Linked DNA regions of Arabidopsis thaliana. The protein of the gene in region 3 interacts with the protein of the main gene of each other region in a pairwise test. Each region holds a gene or a part of one and is shown on either strand. Other genes may lie near its edges.

What was found.
Region 1: the proteins of AT3G48550 (region 3) and HAT14 interact in a two-hybrid assay, tested with the Arabidopsis thaliana proteins (one large-scale study listed by BioGRID).
Region 2: the proteins of AT3G48550 (region 3) and AT3G61920 interact in a two-hybrid assay, tested with the Arabidopsis thaliana proteins (one large-scale study listed by BioGRID).
Region 4: the proteins of AT3G48550 (region 3) and AT5G18260 interact in a two-hybrid assay, tested with the Arabidopsis thaliana proteins (one large-scale study listed by BioGRID).

Annotation. Positions count from the first base shown.
Region 1 is NC_003076.8:2,067,379-2,072,695, forward strand, and holds HAT14 (homeobox leucine zipper protein), read right to left. Parts: upstream 3,189-5,317; 5' UTR 2,907-3,188; coding exon 2,591-2,906; intron 2,113-2,590; coding exon 1,787-2,112; coding exon of another isoform or gene 1,715-1,786; exon of another isoform or gene 1,665-1,714; coding exon 1,585-1,664; coding exon of another isoform or gene 1,485-1,584; exon of another isoform or gene 1,216-1,484; coding exon 927-1,215; 3' UTR 581-926; downstream 1-580. UniProt on the Arabidopsis thaliana protein: Probable transcription factor.
Region 2 is NC_003074.8:22,931,785-22,935,404, forward strand, and holds AT3G61920 (UvrABC system protein C), read right to left. Parts: upstream 1,579-3,620; 5' UTR 1,418-1,578; coding exon 854-1,417; 3' UTR 670-853; downstream 1-669.
Region 3 is NC_003074.8:17,992,080-17,995,758, reverse strand, and holds AT3G48550 (SHOOT GRAVITROPISM-like protein), read right to left. Parts: upstream 1,941-3,679; 5' UTR 1,712-1,940; coding exon 1,365-1,711; intron 1,294-1,364; coding exon 1,164-1,293; 3' UTR 980-1,163; downstream 1-979.
Region 4 is NC_003076.8:6,035,273-6,039,970, forward strand, and holds AT5G18260 (RING/U-box superfamily protein), read right to left. Parts: upstream 2,835-4,698; 5' UTR 2,715-2,834; intron 2,449-2,714; 5' UTR 2,344-2,448; exon of another isoform or gene 2,239-2,343; 5' UTR 2,024-2,238; coding exon 1,829-2,023; exon of another isoform or gene 1,722-1,828; coding exon 954-1,721; 3' UTR 930-953; downstream 1-929.

The DNA.
Region 1 (5,317 bases), on a different chromosome or scaffold from region 3:
ATCTAAAACTCACAAATCATTGATCCGGTTCACATGCAACCCATATATGCTATATGAAACCTGAGGTATGAATATAAGTAATACAATAATTGCAAAATTGCAGTTTTAGAAATAAGAGTTTTGTTTAAAAACACATGTTCCTCTTCTAGCTATTCATATCATGATCAGTCGACGCCACCCAACAAAAGACATCATCTCAATGGGGCTTATACATCAATCAAACTTTGTTTTGTGTGAAGTAGAGGACGAAACAAGATAGTAGATACAACTTGCTTTTCTCGTGTTCTTCTACATGCAGGAACAGTCTGGCGCATGTTCAAAAGAGAATTAATCGCCTAAACAGTACATCATTAATGATACAATCTTGTGACTGTTCTCGTCTTGTGTTAAAGGTTCTCTATTGTTTCTCCCTACGATGTATGCATGCTCTGATTAACGAACGTTGACATGAAAAAACCGGTTTGTTAATTATCTTCATATTTCTTGTAAAAACGCTGTTTTGTTTAAATTAAAATGTATCAACCTATATATAACATTAAAGAAAAAAAGGAAGAAAAATAAGTTTAATAAATTTAAAACACGATAATTAAACGTATCTAGTGAAGATTTTTTGCACGACAAACCCTTTTGCTTTAATCACAAATAAAAGTCTATAAGATCAAACCAAATATTTTCCCCTTTTCCTTTTGTCTTCTTCTATATTCCTCTATCATTCAATAAAACATGTCAACCCTTTTGCTCCATCTGTTTTTTATCCGGTCCTATCTAAGAAAAACAAAACACTAACCGGATAATCAATCTATTCGTCTTTCAAAATAGCGGTCTCTAATAAAATATGAAAAGTAAAATAAATATATACACAAGAAGACAACTTTTAAAACCACTCTAGCTCGACCGTTTGCTCAAACTGTATTTCGCAGGTGCTTTCATGAAACTTGTTTGGCCGGCCGAGGCTTAACCGGAATCAATGATGACGTGGACAAACAGAGGTTGTGGGCAGCTGACGTGGAGGGCTGTGCTGCTGAAGTGGCAACACGTTCACAAGAAGGGCACATAGTGAGAGTAGTGGCCGGAAGTTGCATGTAAAAGGGTGTGGAAGTCTTCAAGGTTCTCAATTCTTTAACCTCTTTTTGAAGCCTCCGGTTTTCTTCGGTTAGTGACTCACAGCATCTCTTTAGGTATTCACAGTCCACTTCCGTTTGCTTCAGCTTTGTCCTATTATCATTTATCAATCACATAACCCCCACCAACAATATGAGACTTTGTTTTTGTAAAGATTAAAGAAGACGTTTTTTTTTGGGTTCAAATTATATAAAGAAGGATTATGAATTTTTTTCTTTTTGTGAATAAGTCACTATAAGCAATTATATATGGAAATGATGAGCGGAAGTGATATACTACTTTTGCACGAAAAATGACAAGGATAGACATGCGACAATTTGTTATTATTACTCGTGATGCATTTTTCGTCCTCATCCCTCTTTTCAGAAATTAATCATAGCAAAAAAATATACTTCCAATGAAGAAAATAAACCGTTTACACAGGAAGAAAATGAAGATAAATAATTAATGATATAAGCTAACCTGGCTCGTCTGTTTTGAAACCAGACTTCAACCTGACGAGGACGAAGATTCAACTGCTTCGCCAATGCAATCTTCTGTTTCTGCAATGTTTTAGAAAGAAAAAAAAAAGCATTAAGGCTAAAATTTGGTACTAAAAAAATAGAATAAATTCAAGAAAGACAAATTTTAAATAAATAAAAACTGTAAAGAATGGGACACGAACAGGATTAAGGGTACTGTGTTCTTTGAAGCTGTCTTCAAGAAAAGCAGATTGGTCTTTGGAGAGTCTAAGTTTCTTCCTAGTGGATCCATTCTCGTCATCGTTGTCTTCGTTGCTGGCTCTTGAAGCTGATCTCTCCACTTCATCATCAATATCTCTCTTATTGCTTCTTCTCTCATAACCATAACTTTTAATCCCAAAGTCCAATTGAAACGACGACGTTACACTATCCGGCGGCGATACTGACATACTAGGCACCGCTTCCTCCTCCTCCTCTTCCTCCTCCACAACCGTAGCTGCTCCTAAGGGCATTCTTCCTCCTTGTCGACCTGTAAATTTGGTTTATTAAATTAGTATATTGTTTCTATTGTAATCCTGAGCGAATATTCAAACTGATATGTGAAAAGTTAGGTATTCTTGTTAATCAAATACATCCACAATAGATATTTTTTTTCTTTGGATTTAAATAATACTTTAATTAAAAGATGGTTCTTCTTTCTTGTCACAAATCAGTCAAAACATTTTTGGAAAATGATTTCAACATCCCATCGACACATTTAAGCCAAATCGGACTCTCTCTATATATATATCCAGAAAAGATATTAATATTCTTATAGTCGTAAGAAAAAAAACATGTAAGCCAAATTAGGGATTCTAATATAAGAAATCGAATGTTATGAATAACATCGACTTTCTTTTGTTTCTTTTGTGTCTAGTGTGTACGTATATAATCACACCATTTAAGTAAGAGAAATTATAGCCCTATGCCCATTTTTTATTTTAAAATATAAAAAATAAAATAAGAACCTTTACTGTTCTCAGGGAGCCAATTAGGGAAGTGAAGCTGAAGCTGTAATGGTGGATCTACAGAAGACGAAACCCTAAATTCGTCAGATTTTTTTGCTCTGGGCGCCGGTTTCTTCTTCTCATCCTCTACCGACGGAGACGAAGAGGATGACAACGATCTGTGACCACCAAAAGCAACATCTAAAGCCATGCAGAACCCAAGATCCTTCTCGGAAGTAGATGTCGACGAGACAGAGGGATTATTAATCTTCGAGTTCTTCTCCATAAAAGAGAACTGTTTCTTAGTATTGTCGCCTAGAGACAACGCTAGTTCCATCTCTTACGAAGAAAATAAGAGTTTTAGAGAGAGAGATTGAGAGAGAGGAACAAGAAGATCTGTTGTGGCCTTATGGAGTGGTGACATGAAAGTGAAACCCCACTTATTTATTTCCTATGTTCAATGTATTTAAATAATATTATTTATGTATATGAACAAATATTGGATCTTCATCCTATAAATTCCTTAAGACATGTGATTTAAGTCATCATTCTTTTTAGTGGTATATGAATAGGGCATGTATTTATGTAATTATATATTTTTTAATATATGTGAACAATGTTTCAAATTTTTTTTTGTGGAAAGAGTATATCTCTAACCGGTCAAATGATAATCAACTTTATATGCCAAAGAGAATATAAGAAAAAAAATTATATCAAAAAATGAAGAAAACATGAGATATTTTCCTTTTTTTAATTTCTTGTCAATACCGAGAAATGTAGTGTATTTTGGGGTTGATATGGATTTGGGAGATTGACCGACAACCGCCATTCACATACGCACGTGAATACATATAAATGTATACCACATTCTTACACGAGACTGGCGCCTTGTGTGTTTGTTATTAACCCCTCTCTATATTTTCCTTATGTTTGTTTTTATTCTACAAGGAATCAGTTTGTTTTCATGACAATCAAAATTTCGTATGCAATACTTCCATTTCAAGATACTTCCAAATTTTATGGAAAAAAAATCTCAGATAGAGTGAAAATTGAATTTATAAAGATAAATACATATCTGAGCATGCAAAAAGCAACTATTTCTATAAAGCTTATGATTTTCGGAGACTCGTTTAATTAGTCCATCGATCACAATGCAGCCATTGAAGAAGATCGGCTAAAAAACAGTTTCATCTACTTTTTATTTTTGCTACATTTTTAGTACTCCACATATTGAAGAAACCAATTAAGGAATCGTGATTTTTCTTGAAGATGTGAGACTGTGTTTGTTGAACATTATTGAAGACCATAATTAGTTTGACCGGCCAGCGTAATTCTTGGTCACACGTTAATAATGGGAACTTTGATTTTCTTAAGTTTTAAGAGATTTAAACGAAAGTGGAAGTGGTTGGAAAAAGAATTAGGGTATATAATAATTGGAAGTAAAAAAAGGGACATAGTGACGGTTTGACATCGTAGTTACCGTTTAATGCTGTAGCTAAATTTCTAAATCAATGGTCGGTGAAAAGGAAAATTAAAGCTAAAGTGCAACATTTTAATGTTTGTAGAGTACTAACGTTTTGATTCACATAACTAAGGCCCGTTTGTTTCTCCATCCAAATGAATTATCTAGATAGAGATAAAAAATGATGTTTGTTTTTCACAATTTAACATATTATTTGGATGAATCACTAGGATGATCCATCTGAATGACTTTGTAAATTTAGACAAATTTTTAAAACTCATTTAGATGGACATAGTTGACCATTTGGATGGAGATGATTTAGTTAAAAAGAATAAATGACAAATATAACGTTTGTAATAATACTAATTTTCAATAAAGTTTTTTTATTTTTTAAAATTACATATTGCACCCAAAAAAAAAAAAAAATTAGGAAATCACGGACTATTATTTTACGTCAAAATTGTATTCATTTTTCCGCCAAAACCGCAAAATCATATTTTCCCGCCAAAACTTCAAAATCATGTTTTTCTGTTAAAACTTTAAAATCATGTTTTCCCGCCAAAACCGTAAGACCATGTTTTCCCGCCAAAACTTCAAAATCATGTTTTTCTGTTAAAACTTCAAAATCATGTTTTCCCGCCAAAACCGTAAAATCATGTTTTCCCGCCAAAACTTCAAAATCATGTTTTCTCGCCAAAACTTCAAAATCATATTTTTCCGCCAAAACCGTAATATCATGTTTTCCCGCCAAAACTGTAAAATATTTTTTTCACCAAAACCGTAAATTCATGTTTTCCCGCCAAAACTTCAAAATCATGTTTTTCCGCCAAAACCGTAATATCATATTTTCCCGTCAAAACGGTAAAATCATGTTTTCCCGTCAAAACGGTAAAATCATGTTTTCCCGCCAAAACCGTAATATCATGTTTTCCCGGCAAAACCGCAAAATCATGTTTTCCCGCCAAAGCCATAATATCATGTTTTCCCACTAAAACCATAAAATATTTTTTTCGCCAAAACCGTAAAATTATTTTTACCTACTAAAATGTGGATGAACTACAAAATAATCAAACAAATAAAGATCCATTTAAATGCATTATTTAGATTAAATATCAAATGATTAAACAAACACTAGAAACATCATTCAAATGCATCATTTAAATGAATCATGTAAATGAATCATGTAAATGAAAATGCTAAATGATGAAACAAACAGGACCTAACTTAATGACTAGGTAATTGTTGATATTGGACTGATGAAAATGTTTTTGTAATAAGTTTATTTT
Region 2 (3,620 bases), 4.9 Mb from region 3:
GCATGAATCTAGATGAACAGTTGTTTACAACTGTAAGCGAGGAGGTATCTACGTATGTTGTAGATTTTGTGGGGGCCTATTTACAAAAGGTTATTTTCTGAATTTCCTTTTTCTTACACATGGTTTTGAGATTATAATAGATTAATACGCAAGGGCCGTTCAAATTTGCCATGTGCTATAGGATAACATTGTTAATAAAAAATTAAATCATGAGATTAAAATTTTGAGTTAATGAATATTCTGAAATGTCTTTTTCATTTTTCTAACATGGTTCTGAGTTTATAGCAGAGTAATATATAATCTGATTAAAACGAACGTTGTTGCGGCACGGAGCTATGATAAATTGATGATAATTAGTGACAAAAAACTAAAATGATATAATTGAAGTATTACAAATCGTAATTTTTCTAGAAGATGAAGGAAGTTTGCATGGGAAGCAATCTTAATTTGAGGTGTTTCAAAATTTATTAAACCCTTAATGGTGAGACGTCATATAACTATATATATTAGCACTCGTGCTTGTCGGACTTATAACTTTAGCCTAATCTTAAACTGTTTCTGGCCAGCTTTGTGTCATTGGGCCTGAAATAAAAGAGTTTCTCCCTTTTGTTTTGCTCTTCTAGACTTTTGGCATTGAATAGGGAAGATTAAATAATCTCTAACTACGAGTCTACGACTTCATAAATTAATTGTTTCATGAGAGATAACAATGATATTTCAAATATATCTACGTTGATAAACTTATATAATCGTTCCAAGTCTTCAATGAATACGGAAATCAACATACTAATTTAAATGCTTAAATCGTGAAACAGATTAAAACATAAACGTAGTTTATTCATAATTCGAAATTTTACCACAATTTCCCTTTAAAGCTACTCGTAACGCTTAGCTGGTCTGAATTCGCTCTCGAATGAACTCCTCCGCCGCAGCCGTAACCGCCACACTTCGCCACCGTCCTCACACTTTCCACCAACGCTTCCGTTTCCACATCCTCCGCAAGAATTTCCGCCAACTGCTCCGGACTTATCACAAGCCTCACCTTCCACACTCCACAACCACCGCCACTCAAAGCCGCCATTATCGGCGTCTTCCCGAAAGACATTCTGTACGGCGTTGATAGTTGGTCGGAGGAATCCAGTTGAGCGGTCGCGGCTGCGGAAGAAGAAAGAGGAAGGAGGTAGTAGATGTTACCGGGAAAGAGTTCTTCGCCGTGGAGAAGCGGTGGAGATGAGTGGCGGAGGCTTAAAGAGTCGTGGATGACATGGCCGGGAAATTCGTTGGTGATGAATTCGGCGAAGATGGGAGGATGAAGCTCCATCACGCCACCGTTTGGAGTCACCACTTTTATCAACGAATCATCTTTATCGTATAATTTTCTTGAACCACCATTGCCTTTGAATACGCAGTTACCCATTTTTGCTACATAAGTTAGAAATAATAACTGATTATTTTGTGTATATGTAATGTATGGAATCCAAAGAAAACCCCAAGACGGAGAAGGGTTTAAGACAAACGTTTTCTTTGAGCAGATGAAGTATATATCTTTACGACGTAAAGAAAAAATGAAAATTGCGAATGGTCCACCACTTTTCTTGTAAACAAAAGGACCGAAGATATTGTGCTTGCGATATTATCATCATTACTATTATTTTAGTCTTTGAAAGATAAATGATTATTATTTTTGGTTATTTGAGAATTGAGAGTAATTGGCAATGGTCTGTTTGTAGAACAATTGACAACAAGTAGAAAACATTTGAAGGTAAAATAAAAAATGAACTAATTTCTGTAGAATAATTGGCAGATTAATAAATAAAATAAAACCTTATCTAAACAAATTACAAAAAGTAAGATAAATGGTTTTCCTTAACCTATTTTCCATTTAGAAAGGTAAGTGATAGGGGTAATAATGTTCACGTGAGGTCAAAAGGTGAAAAGGCCGACAGAGACAAAAAGACTTTAATCTTTGTAAAATTATTATGGATGATTAATGAATTTAACCATTTTACCAAATTGTTAGAAAACCTCCACGAAAACTAATTCTATAAATTTATAAATGGAACGTGTGAAACTATGGACCAAACAGAGTACATCTTATCAGATCAACAGAGTATATAATTGCATGTTGTTTTTACTCGAATTGATTAATATAATGTCACATAACTTGTGTGGATCCATGTCCTACAACAATATAACATTTTGTCTTTTTATATTATACGGAGTTCAAAAAAGAAAGATTCTGGAATACGAAGGAAAAAAAACAGTAGTACCTTTCGGTGCACTCAATTACGTACACCAACAATTTCTTGGCGGGTCATTATTAATTTCAAGGGTCCTAATGGGCAATGGCCCATATTACATACTCTTCTTTTTTTCTTCCTATTATTTAAATTATATTAGAGAGCTTTGAGCCCACCATAGTGCAAAATATATTGTTTTTAAAAAGACCACTAGCTAATTGTCACAGTCTCTCACATACCACATGCTGAAATTGCAAATACTAACAAAGAATCAAGATTTGTAGAAATACAAATGATATTTTATTCATTTATTGTTTTTGTCAGTTTGATTTATTATTTTTGTAAAAAAAAACAAAAAACAAGTGAGATAGTGTATCGGTGTTTAGTTAGGGACTTAAATGTGATTTTGGTTCATATGTACTTTTTGCTAGCCTAAATTAAACTGAGTTTAGTATAAATTGTTCTGTACAATCTTGGTCTTGGTTTCTGTCTGATACTTTTTTAATTATTTATTTTAAGTTTCTTAATTATAAAGAAAAGAAGTTCATTTGAGCCTAACATCAACAAACTATATGGCCCAAACCATTGCCAACACTAATAATGGGCTAAACTTCACTGAATGGAACTACATAATGGGCCTCACGAAAAACTACATTATGAATTTCTTCTTTGTGGTCCTGATTATGACATTGCCTTCTTTTGTGAACAGAAAAAACTAATGACATTGCCTTCTTTGATGAGCTTTGCTAAACGGGGATCTTACATACAAAAATTTAATCTAATCGAAACCCAATCAGAAAAAACGGGGAGGTTCTCCGTTTCCGTTCGATCTAATATTTTATTTTGATATAAAACGAGAAATAGGTGATGATTAGTATTAAATTAGAGGTTTAAGGTGACAAAATCCCGGGGATAAAGACCGTACTTTAAGATAGTTGACGCGTGAAACACACCCTGTGTTATGTTATGGGTTTTAATTTACTTAGATTCCACGTCAGCAGATACGTGAACCAGAACAACACTTAATAATTCCGTCTAATAACCTCGCATGCCCCATGCATCGTAGTTCACATTCTTACTCAACTCCTTCCTCATTTATCATTCCAATAAACTTTACCCAAATGGTTTCAAACCGAGATCTAACCGTACTTGACTTTGAAAATCGAATGCTAACCATTTACATACCGAACCAAAACTAAATTTACTAGATTTTATCAAGAATAACATTTTTAATCAAATGGATTTCAAAATTATACTCAGTTATATATTGAATTATACATAGTTAATTATGTATAGTTACTTTCATTAGAAATAGTTATCTAAAACCGAAATAAATCAAAATTTTCAAACCGAATCGAACCAAACTAAATCATTTTTTTC
Region 3 (3,679 bases):
TTAATCTGTTCGAAAACGTATATTCAGTTCCAAATACTAAAGATGGGCATAGAAATGACAAAGTGGATTACAATGTGCTTTTGATATATATTCTCAAAATGTTTACATATATTCTATATATTGTCATAATCGTTAATATAGTTCATATGTATGTATCATTTTATAGAGAATATGACGACCAACCGAATAGATCAGCCGAGTTGATTTACGTATTTAGGGTATGATCGTAAACTCGGCATTTTTTAGGATTTAAATTTGAACATATTATCTGTAGTACACGATTGATTTAAACCATAGTCTACGAAGTACATAATTAAAATTAATCCTCTCTCTTATCAAAAATATTCATACATTTATCAAGTTTCTGTAAGTAAATGTACGTATATGCACAAACACAAAATAATAGTACACACATATATACTATTTAAAGCGACCTAAGAGATTAAAGTAGATGAAATAAGCATGTTAATGCAATAATTATACCCATCATCTCCATGCATATGTCTTTACGTGTGTTTGATTATTTGTTTTCAGAATAATCATCAATTTTCATTGAACGAACGTTTTCAAAGATGATTACAACAAATCAAATGAATCACATATGGGTCAGCCAATTATATTCAAATCATGCAATCCGTCCATTCTCTTTTTTATTTTCCACGTTCCTCGATTGTGAATGTCACTCCATCTCTTGTTACTTTAACATCAAGCATTTAACTAACTAATCACTGTAATTACTAATTAGGTTTTGTTCTGTTGGTTAATAAATGTCATAGTTAGATTTTAATACTCCATATAGTATATAATAGCTGATCGTTGAGGAATTGACATAGCTAATGTTGACAACGTAACTAATGAATTTTATCCCTAATTCCCAAGTAATTCACTAAATGGTATTCATGATTTTTTTTTTTTTTTTTTTTGGTTGGCAAAGAAGAGGAAGTAAAGTAGCTGGAAACATAAATCATCTCTTATCTGAGCATATTGTTTTCCTTCGATTTCAAGAAAATAAAAAGGAAGGACTATATAATATTACCAAACTCGAAAATGAAAACAAATTAAATTTAACTACAAAATAAAATTTAAATTAAACCAACATTCTCTTTCTCTTCAAATATCCATTTATAATAACAATAATTAAGAGAAACAAATAAATACTTATGTTATGGCCTAAACCTTTGTCTGCAAGAGTGGCAAGTGATCTCCAAGCAAGCCGTATCGATCTTCGTCATTGATCTCTCCTTCAATCTCTCAGCTCTCTCCACTTCTTCCCTTGCCTTCTGCCACATCACCCTGGTTACAATTCAAAACCGTTAACCAAACCAAAACCAGAATTATTACTTGATCGAGCTAGCTTTAACTACCTTGCACGAGCAAACTCAGACTGAGCCATCTCCATCTCACGGCGAGTCAACTCTCTAACCCTCTCGGCGTAAGCCTTCTCTATAGCCGCAAGCCTTATCTGCTCCGCGGCTTGCCACTTCAACGCCTCCACACCACCGTTTGGAAGCTCCTCCGCTGTTGAGATCGAGCTGAGGCTGATGGAGAGTTTGAGGTCAAGATCGTGGTGGATCATGGAGGAGGAACGGTGGTGATTGTTGTGATGGTCGGTTGTTATAACTGTTGGTCGGTGTTTCCTTACCGGAGATTCGGTAGACGGTGGAGAAGGTAAAAGCTGAAGCTCTTTGTGATGATCTTGTTGTTCAGCCATTTTTGTATTCTTGTTTGTTTTTTTTGGCTAAAAGGCTGCACTTCTCAATAAGTGTGGGGATGGCAATTACCAATCACTTTATATGTAAGCTGCTTCGTGTCTGTGCACATATACTATCTACTTGAAATTACACTTATAACCCCTTATTCGAATATGCATATCTTTTTGGGTTATTTGATCATTGGGTTTTTATATAATCCTCAAAGTTAACAAACGACCACCGTACCGCCATTATGTGAATTTGTTGTCAAGTGTGGTTCCATGATAAGACGAAATGATGTGATTGTACAACAATCAACTAAAGTTAAAAATAGGTTAGATATATAAGATTTTTTAAGTTTTGTCGAGTTACAAAATAAATAGTCACCAATAACCAAATTTTTAGAATGTTTTATAATGATGAACATGTTATTTGCGTTTATGTCGAAATAATATAAACATGTAAACGCAAACGTGATTAATGTTGTTTTTTACGTTAAAGCTACTATATATTATGACATAACTTGCAATTGCAAAATTTCATTGTTTTTTTTTTTTCCAAAACATAAGAGGAGCATACTTGTAAAGTGAAAATAATGGAGGGTAGGTTAGTAAAACGAAGATAGAAATAGGAAGAAAAAAAATAGTTAAGGTGTAGAGAAAATCTCCGTTGAAGAAAAGACAGAGAAGATGGGATATAAACGGATCACGTTATTGAAGCATGAGAGGCTTTTTAAAGAAACCCTTTTCACTTTTTCATCATCTATCTCATTTTATATGTTTTTGTAACTAATAACTTTGCGATTGTATATTTGTTAATTAACGTATCCTTTTAAAAAAATGAAAATGTGGATGTGGGTTGTGTAATAATTGGTGATGCACGTGGCTTAATGGATTCAAAAGCTAGCAACTAGCTCACTTACTATGTGCTTAGTCCGTATATATTAGTAATTTAATCAAATTCTTCTCATATAACAGTTTATATTTTATTTATATATGTGATTTAAATAGTTGAAAGATTATAACAGATTTATAGGATTGAGAATTCGGAAACTAGGGTTTGAGTCTTTCCGCTGCAATCTCAATTACATTAATTAGTATAGACGCTCTAAATGACAAAAAAAAACAAAATTCCACAGGTTTAATAGCTAATCTGAATTGTGTTGTGATCTACGATTGCCTGGTCGTTATGTTTTAAATACATTTTGTTATTTATAGATAAAAATGTACGTAATGCTTTCAATGTTTTTTTTTTAAAGTTATTAACTTGTTTCATGTGTTTCATAGTTTCATGTACGTTTCCAATTATTTGTTATTTTTCAAACTTTGTTCGTTTCCACTTTATGTTTTCTTAATCTATCCAGTTCATATTACATTACATTAGACAAAAGAAAACTAAATAGCGAAATAAAACTAAAACTTATATAGGTATACACAACCGTGCCTACCAATAAAAAAGTCAGAGACGGTATCTTAAAAGCGCAAAATAAGAATATAGAACTATAGTTATAAAAAAAAATTTTGAAAGGTAATGTCAATTTTTTCACAAGATCATTAACCAAAATTTCAAAATCAATCTTTTATAACCTTTTTGTGAATTGAAAAGATTGTCAAAACATCAACGATACAAAAAAGTTTAAATCCATAGTTAATAGAAATATAGAAGAGATGGTTGAGATATCAAATCTGGACCGGTATAGTTTTTTTTATCCAAAAAATATATTGGTAGCACTCAATACTAAAAAAAATAAAAAAAAATAACAAATAATAAAATAAATGATTCAATAACACATAATTTTTGAAAAAAATGAAATTAACCAAAATCTGTTAATTGCCATAATTTTCTGCTGAGAAGAGAAAGCACAATCAGTAAACCAATCTAGTTATTAACCGAAACCTAAACCAACAATCATATGAACCGAATGATAGACCTGCCTTAACCGGAATGGCGGGGATTTTCACTCTCTTATAGTTTCCCGCTACATTTAA
Region 4 (4,698 bases), on a different chromosome or scaffold from region 3:
ATGTCAAATCTTTTCTTTGAAAGAGAGAGCTTCTTGGTGTAAATTCTTCTTATCTTATACAACTATCTGGTGCTAAAGAAAGCTTAATCCGTGTCACGGGCTTTATGTACATGGATGCCAATGGTGATTCACTCATTCTCATATAGACTATAGAGTGATGAAAGGATTAGTTTTGTTGTTTCAGAAGCTGTGGGGTTTCTTTATAATATTCGAACAATTTTGGCTCTGTTTCGTTATATATATACGAGGGTAATTTTGGAATTTCAAGATGAGATTTAGTGAATTAGGGTTTTTGACCAAAGGCTATAAAACTCGAGCAACCAAATCAATCAAATCTTCAAAACTACTTGATCTTATCTGAGCTGAGAAAAAGTGATTTATCGTTAGGGTTTCGGCCTTTTCGGGCCAATGAGCAACCCCAATATCCTTGGCTGGCGGCTCCGGTGACGGAAAGGTTTCGATTCCTTTTATCGTTAATTTCCCATTGTTTTCAGCGATGAAGACTGCTTGCTGCCTGAGCGCACGATTTTACTCGGCGCTGTGATGGCTATTGCGAGCTTTAACACCCACCCAACCAAATATTTATGTGTTTTTGAAAATTTTAGATTTTGATTATTTAAGGTTTCTTCTTCTAGCTTTTTGTTTTTGTTCGATTCGAATTTGTGGATTATGGTTTTGGTTTTCTGTTTTTGTTTTGTTTTGTTCTTATCAACTAGAAGAAAACTTAATTCGTGTGTAAGGCTTGTTGTTCCTAGTTAACTAGAGTTTCTTTGTAGCCTGAAATATAGATTTTGGATTACAAGTTAACTAAAATGCGTACTGCTTCTGTCTATAGTTTCCCAGACACTCGAGAAACTATAAGTTTGAAAAGATTCTTTCTTTTGTGTTATAACTATCGATTAGATCCAAGTAAAAGTTCAAAGAACCTAATTTAATCGGGTCATGTTGGATTTCTAGGAAGAAGATGAGAAGCTTATATTCAAACAGCAGCTGAGTTTGTCCCATTTATGGCTTCTTCTGGTATTGTGTCTTCTTTGATTGTCATTGGAAGGGACTCTTACTGTCTCTAATTCTAGAGCTGTGCGGCTTCTTCTGAGAGATCTTAGAGCCATTTGCAATGTTTCAGGTGCTATCAGTGGCTGTTCCATTACTCCAATGGTGTTTGAGCAAACAGGACAAGACGGGTCTCTGGTTTGAGCTGTTGGGGTTGCTTTGTCTAAACACTCAACATGGTAGACGTGATGGCAGGGGAAAACACCAGTGGCTGGCATGTCTCTGGATCTCAATATCTTGTATGAGCTCCATGGAGATTTCTGAGATAAAAGCTTCTTGCAAATCCCGCATCTTTGATGTGTCATTGAACCTTGTTCAGATCTCGGGTTTGCGACTTCTGTGTCATTGGATCTTTCAACATCTAGCAACATGTCATTGCTGCTCGAGTTTGGTGATACTTCTTCCTCTACTGGTGAGCCTTGGTGGTTTCTTGTGGACATCATGATACTGGAACCAGGATTTGTGGACGAGTCTTCTTGCGTATGATCAGGTTCAGGATTCTCACAAACTGAAACCGGGTTGCAGAAGACTCGAGGGTAAGAGCAGTGAGTAAGGCTGGAAGACTGATTGTTGGTCGGAGTCTCCCATGGGACAGATGACTCTGAAAGAGACAGCAACGATCTGAAACTCGTTGAGATGGCGGTACTGTCTCTATCAAAACCGTTCTCCTGAGCCGTAATTACATCAAAGAGCGACAAGGTTCAGCCAAAGATGAAACCAAGAAAAGCCCATCTTGAAGATTAATGACTTGATATGTAAAGAAGACCAAAATTACCTCGTTTAAGCATTGAGGATTTGAGCTATTTGGTCTTGTTAGACTATTATTAACCAAGGAGGTTTTCTGTTCGTTCCCATCAGAAGCAGATGAGTATGGAGCCCATCTTGGCGACTGCTGAAATCTGAATTCCAAACTTTTTCTTTGTCTACTGCTGCCCGAGTGCAATGCAAAAGCGGGACTCTCATCACTCATATCCTGTTCCAAACCATCTCTAGTATAGCCAGCAGCAGGTGAGAAGCTGAAATTTGTCCGCCATTGCAAGGCTTCAGCTTGACTTGATTGAGGAATATCCCTTCCGCTGTGGGGTGAAGATTTTGTTGTAACCAGTGGCCTTGAGGCCACAATACAACAGAGTGCACCCGTTTTGAGCTCTGGTTTATCCTCACCGCCTTCAAGGCCAAACAATGCTGCCAAAAGGAAGAGACTTGAAGAATGATTTCAGTTGAAACCAAAGTCGTCTTTTTGTAACTTGTAAACACTGTGGAAGGCTAAGTTAATGATTGTAATCTTACTTAATAAATGAAATTCTTGATTATACAGCCAAAATCCCCGAGTTTAGTGATTAGTATAAACACATTCATAAGTACCAAGCCATCTCTGCAGGGACAGGAACACACCTGAGACAAAATGGAAACAACAGTATTTGAGGATGCATATAAATTAAACTAACGCAATATTTAAGACAAAACACTAGATTCAGACTCGTAACAGCTGTTTTGAGCTCTTATAATCACAGAAGAAATTTAGACAGCAAAAGATTCATTGATGGAGAAACCAAAATAAACAAACCCAGGAAGAATTCGAGGAAGATAACCAAGTGTCGGTGAAAGCAGACTACAGATTATACAGAAAAGGAAGATTTTAAAAATCAAAGACAACAAACCTTCAAACTTTGGAAAATGATAACCTGGGTTTGAGAAAGAACTCTGTAATTTGGAGATGGCTGATATTTTGTAAAATCGATGAGAGTAAGAGAGAGCGCACTTCTCTTTACTTTTTCTTTGTCTCTTTTTTTTTTTTTTTTTTTTGAAATAAGAACGACAGAGACGACGACGACGGCTATGAGTTCTGTTCTGTAATGAGAGTGGCCAATTATTAACCCATTATTACTCCTTTTAAAAATTAGTATTTCTGGTTAATCCCCTCACTGATTTTTGTTGTTGTTTTTATTCTAACATTGGAATAATCACTAATGGCTATGATGTGATATGGCTATTATTAGAGTTACACATTATCTATTTTCATTAGGATATATAAAACTAAAAAAATATTAGTGAATCTTTAACAAAAAAGAAAAGAAGGTATTTACTATTTAGAGAAAGAAATGTGTTTTCATTTGAGTGAAATCCATTATAATATCAACTATTGTTATCTTAAAACCCAATTATTGGTATCATCGAATAAAGGTGTTTTCACTAGTACCTATCAAAATTCAACTTTCATCCTCAACTAACGAATAGATTACTCAATATTAAATCTTTGGTTAAGAGTACTGCAATATTGCTGAACTCCTAGTCTTAATTAGACAACTCTTTACGCAGTAATTTGCTACTTTTGACAGCAATTAACGCCTTTGATTAATCATTAATCTCTTACTTTTCTAACTCTTACTAAGTATTACTTTTCTTTCAAAAATTTCTTTCTTTTCAATATTTTTTTCACTTGCATAGCAAAACCATTTGCCCTTTTCTTTTTCTTGCTGAAAGATTAAAATTAAACATTTTTAAAAATGTGGGACTTCAGATTAAATTGTCTTTTTATGAACGAAACTAATGGACTTCATAAAGGCCCATAATATAATGTAGGCCTTTTTGGTCCAAACTATGGTCCATGGCATTACCATAAGCATATCTGCTTATTGTCTAACCTAATCCATTAAAAAGGTGAAAATTAAAGCAACAAAAATGAAATATGTATCGTTTGTAATGTTTTATTTTACATGTTTTAAAAGTGAAATGTTTTTTCATAACAAATCAGCTGTAAAAAGAAGCAACACATAGAAAATTGGTTCCACCTAAATAACTGCTCTGGACAACCGGTTAAGCAAAAAACATTTCCAAATGGTAAGAGGGTTTGATTCACACGTGTAGTCTATCGTTTAGAACCTAGGAGGTGGTACATTTGTATATAGTAAAATAAATTGTTTAAGCAGAAGGAAGAAGATAAGAGACAAAAGAAACGAAGCAATAGTAATCATCTAGAAACCTAAAAAGGGGAAGAGAACGGTTAGCTTTGCTGCAAGTATCGATCTAAAAGCTTCGCTTTAAATGGAAAGTCCTCTTTCTATGCACATTTTAATAATCCTCACATTCATGCATTTTTTTTTCTTTTTTCCAAAATATTACTAATATTTTATTCTAGTATATAATCTAGTTGTAACTACTGTAAGCAATGCTATGTTTATACACCAAAAAGTTTATGGATAATCTCAAATCCAAAATTGAACCAAAAAATAATAACAATAATCAGATTTATGTCCTGAATTTGAGGTGGAAGAGACTCACACGCTTTTTTGCAAATCATCATCATATAGTACATTGAACCAGAAGCCTCATTTATTTACGTACGGTTAATTGAGTTTTTATTTATTTATAACCGTTACATGATTATCTGTATATTAACGTTTAGAACTTTTTTGATAACACTATATGATTTTTAAGGGAATAAAAAAGGACTAATATAAGACTATATATCAAGAAAAATTGAAAACTATGTATTTGCATGGCATTATGTTTTTACATCTTTGATGTTAATGCCTTTTAATAATAACATTTACCAAGATGTTATTCCTTTGGTATTTTTCAAATCGGTGCATTTTCTTTAAAGGTGTTTGTCTTTGTCGTTTTATATATTAAAAAATATCAAAG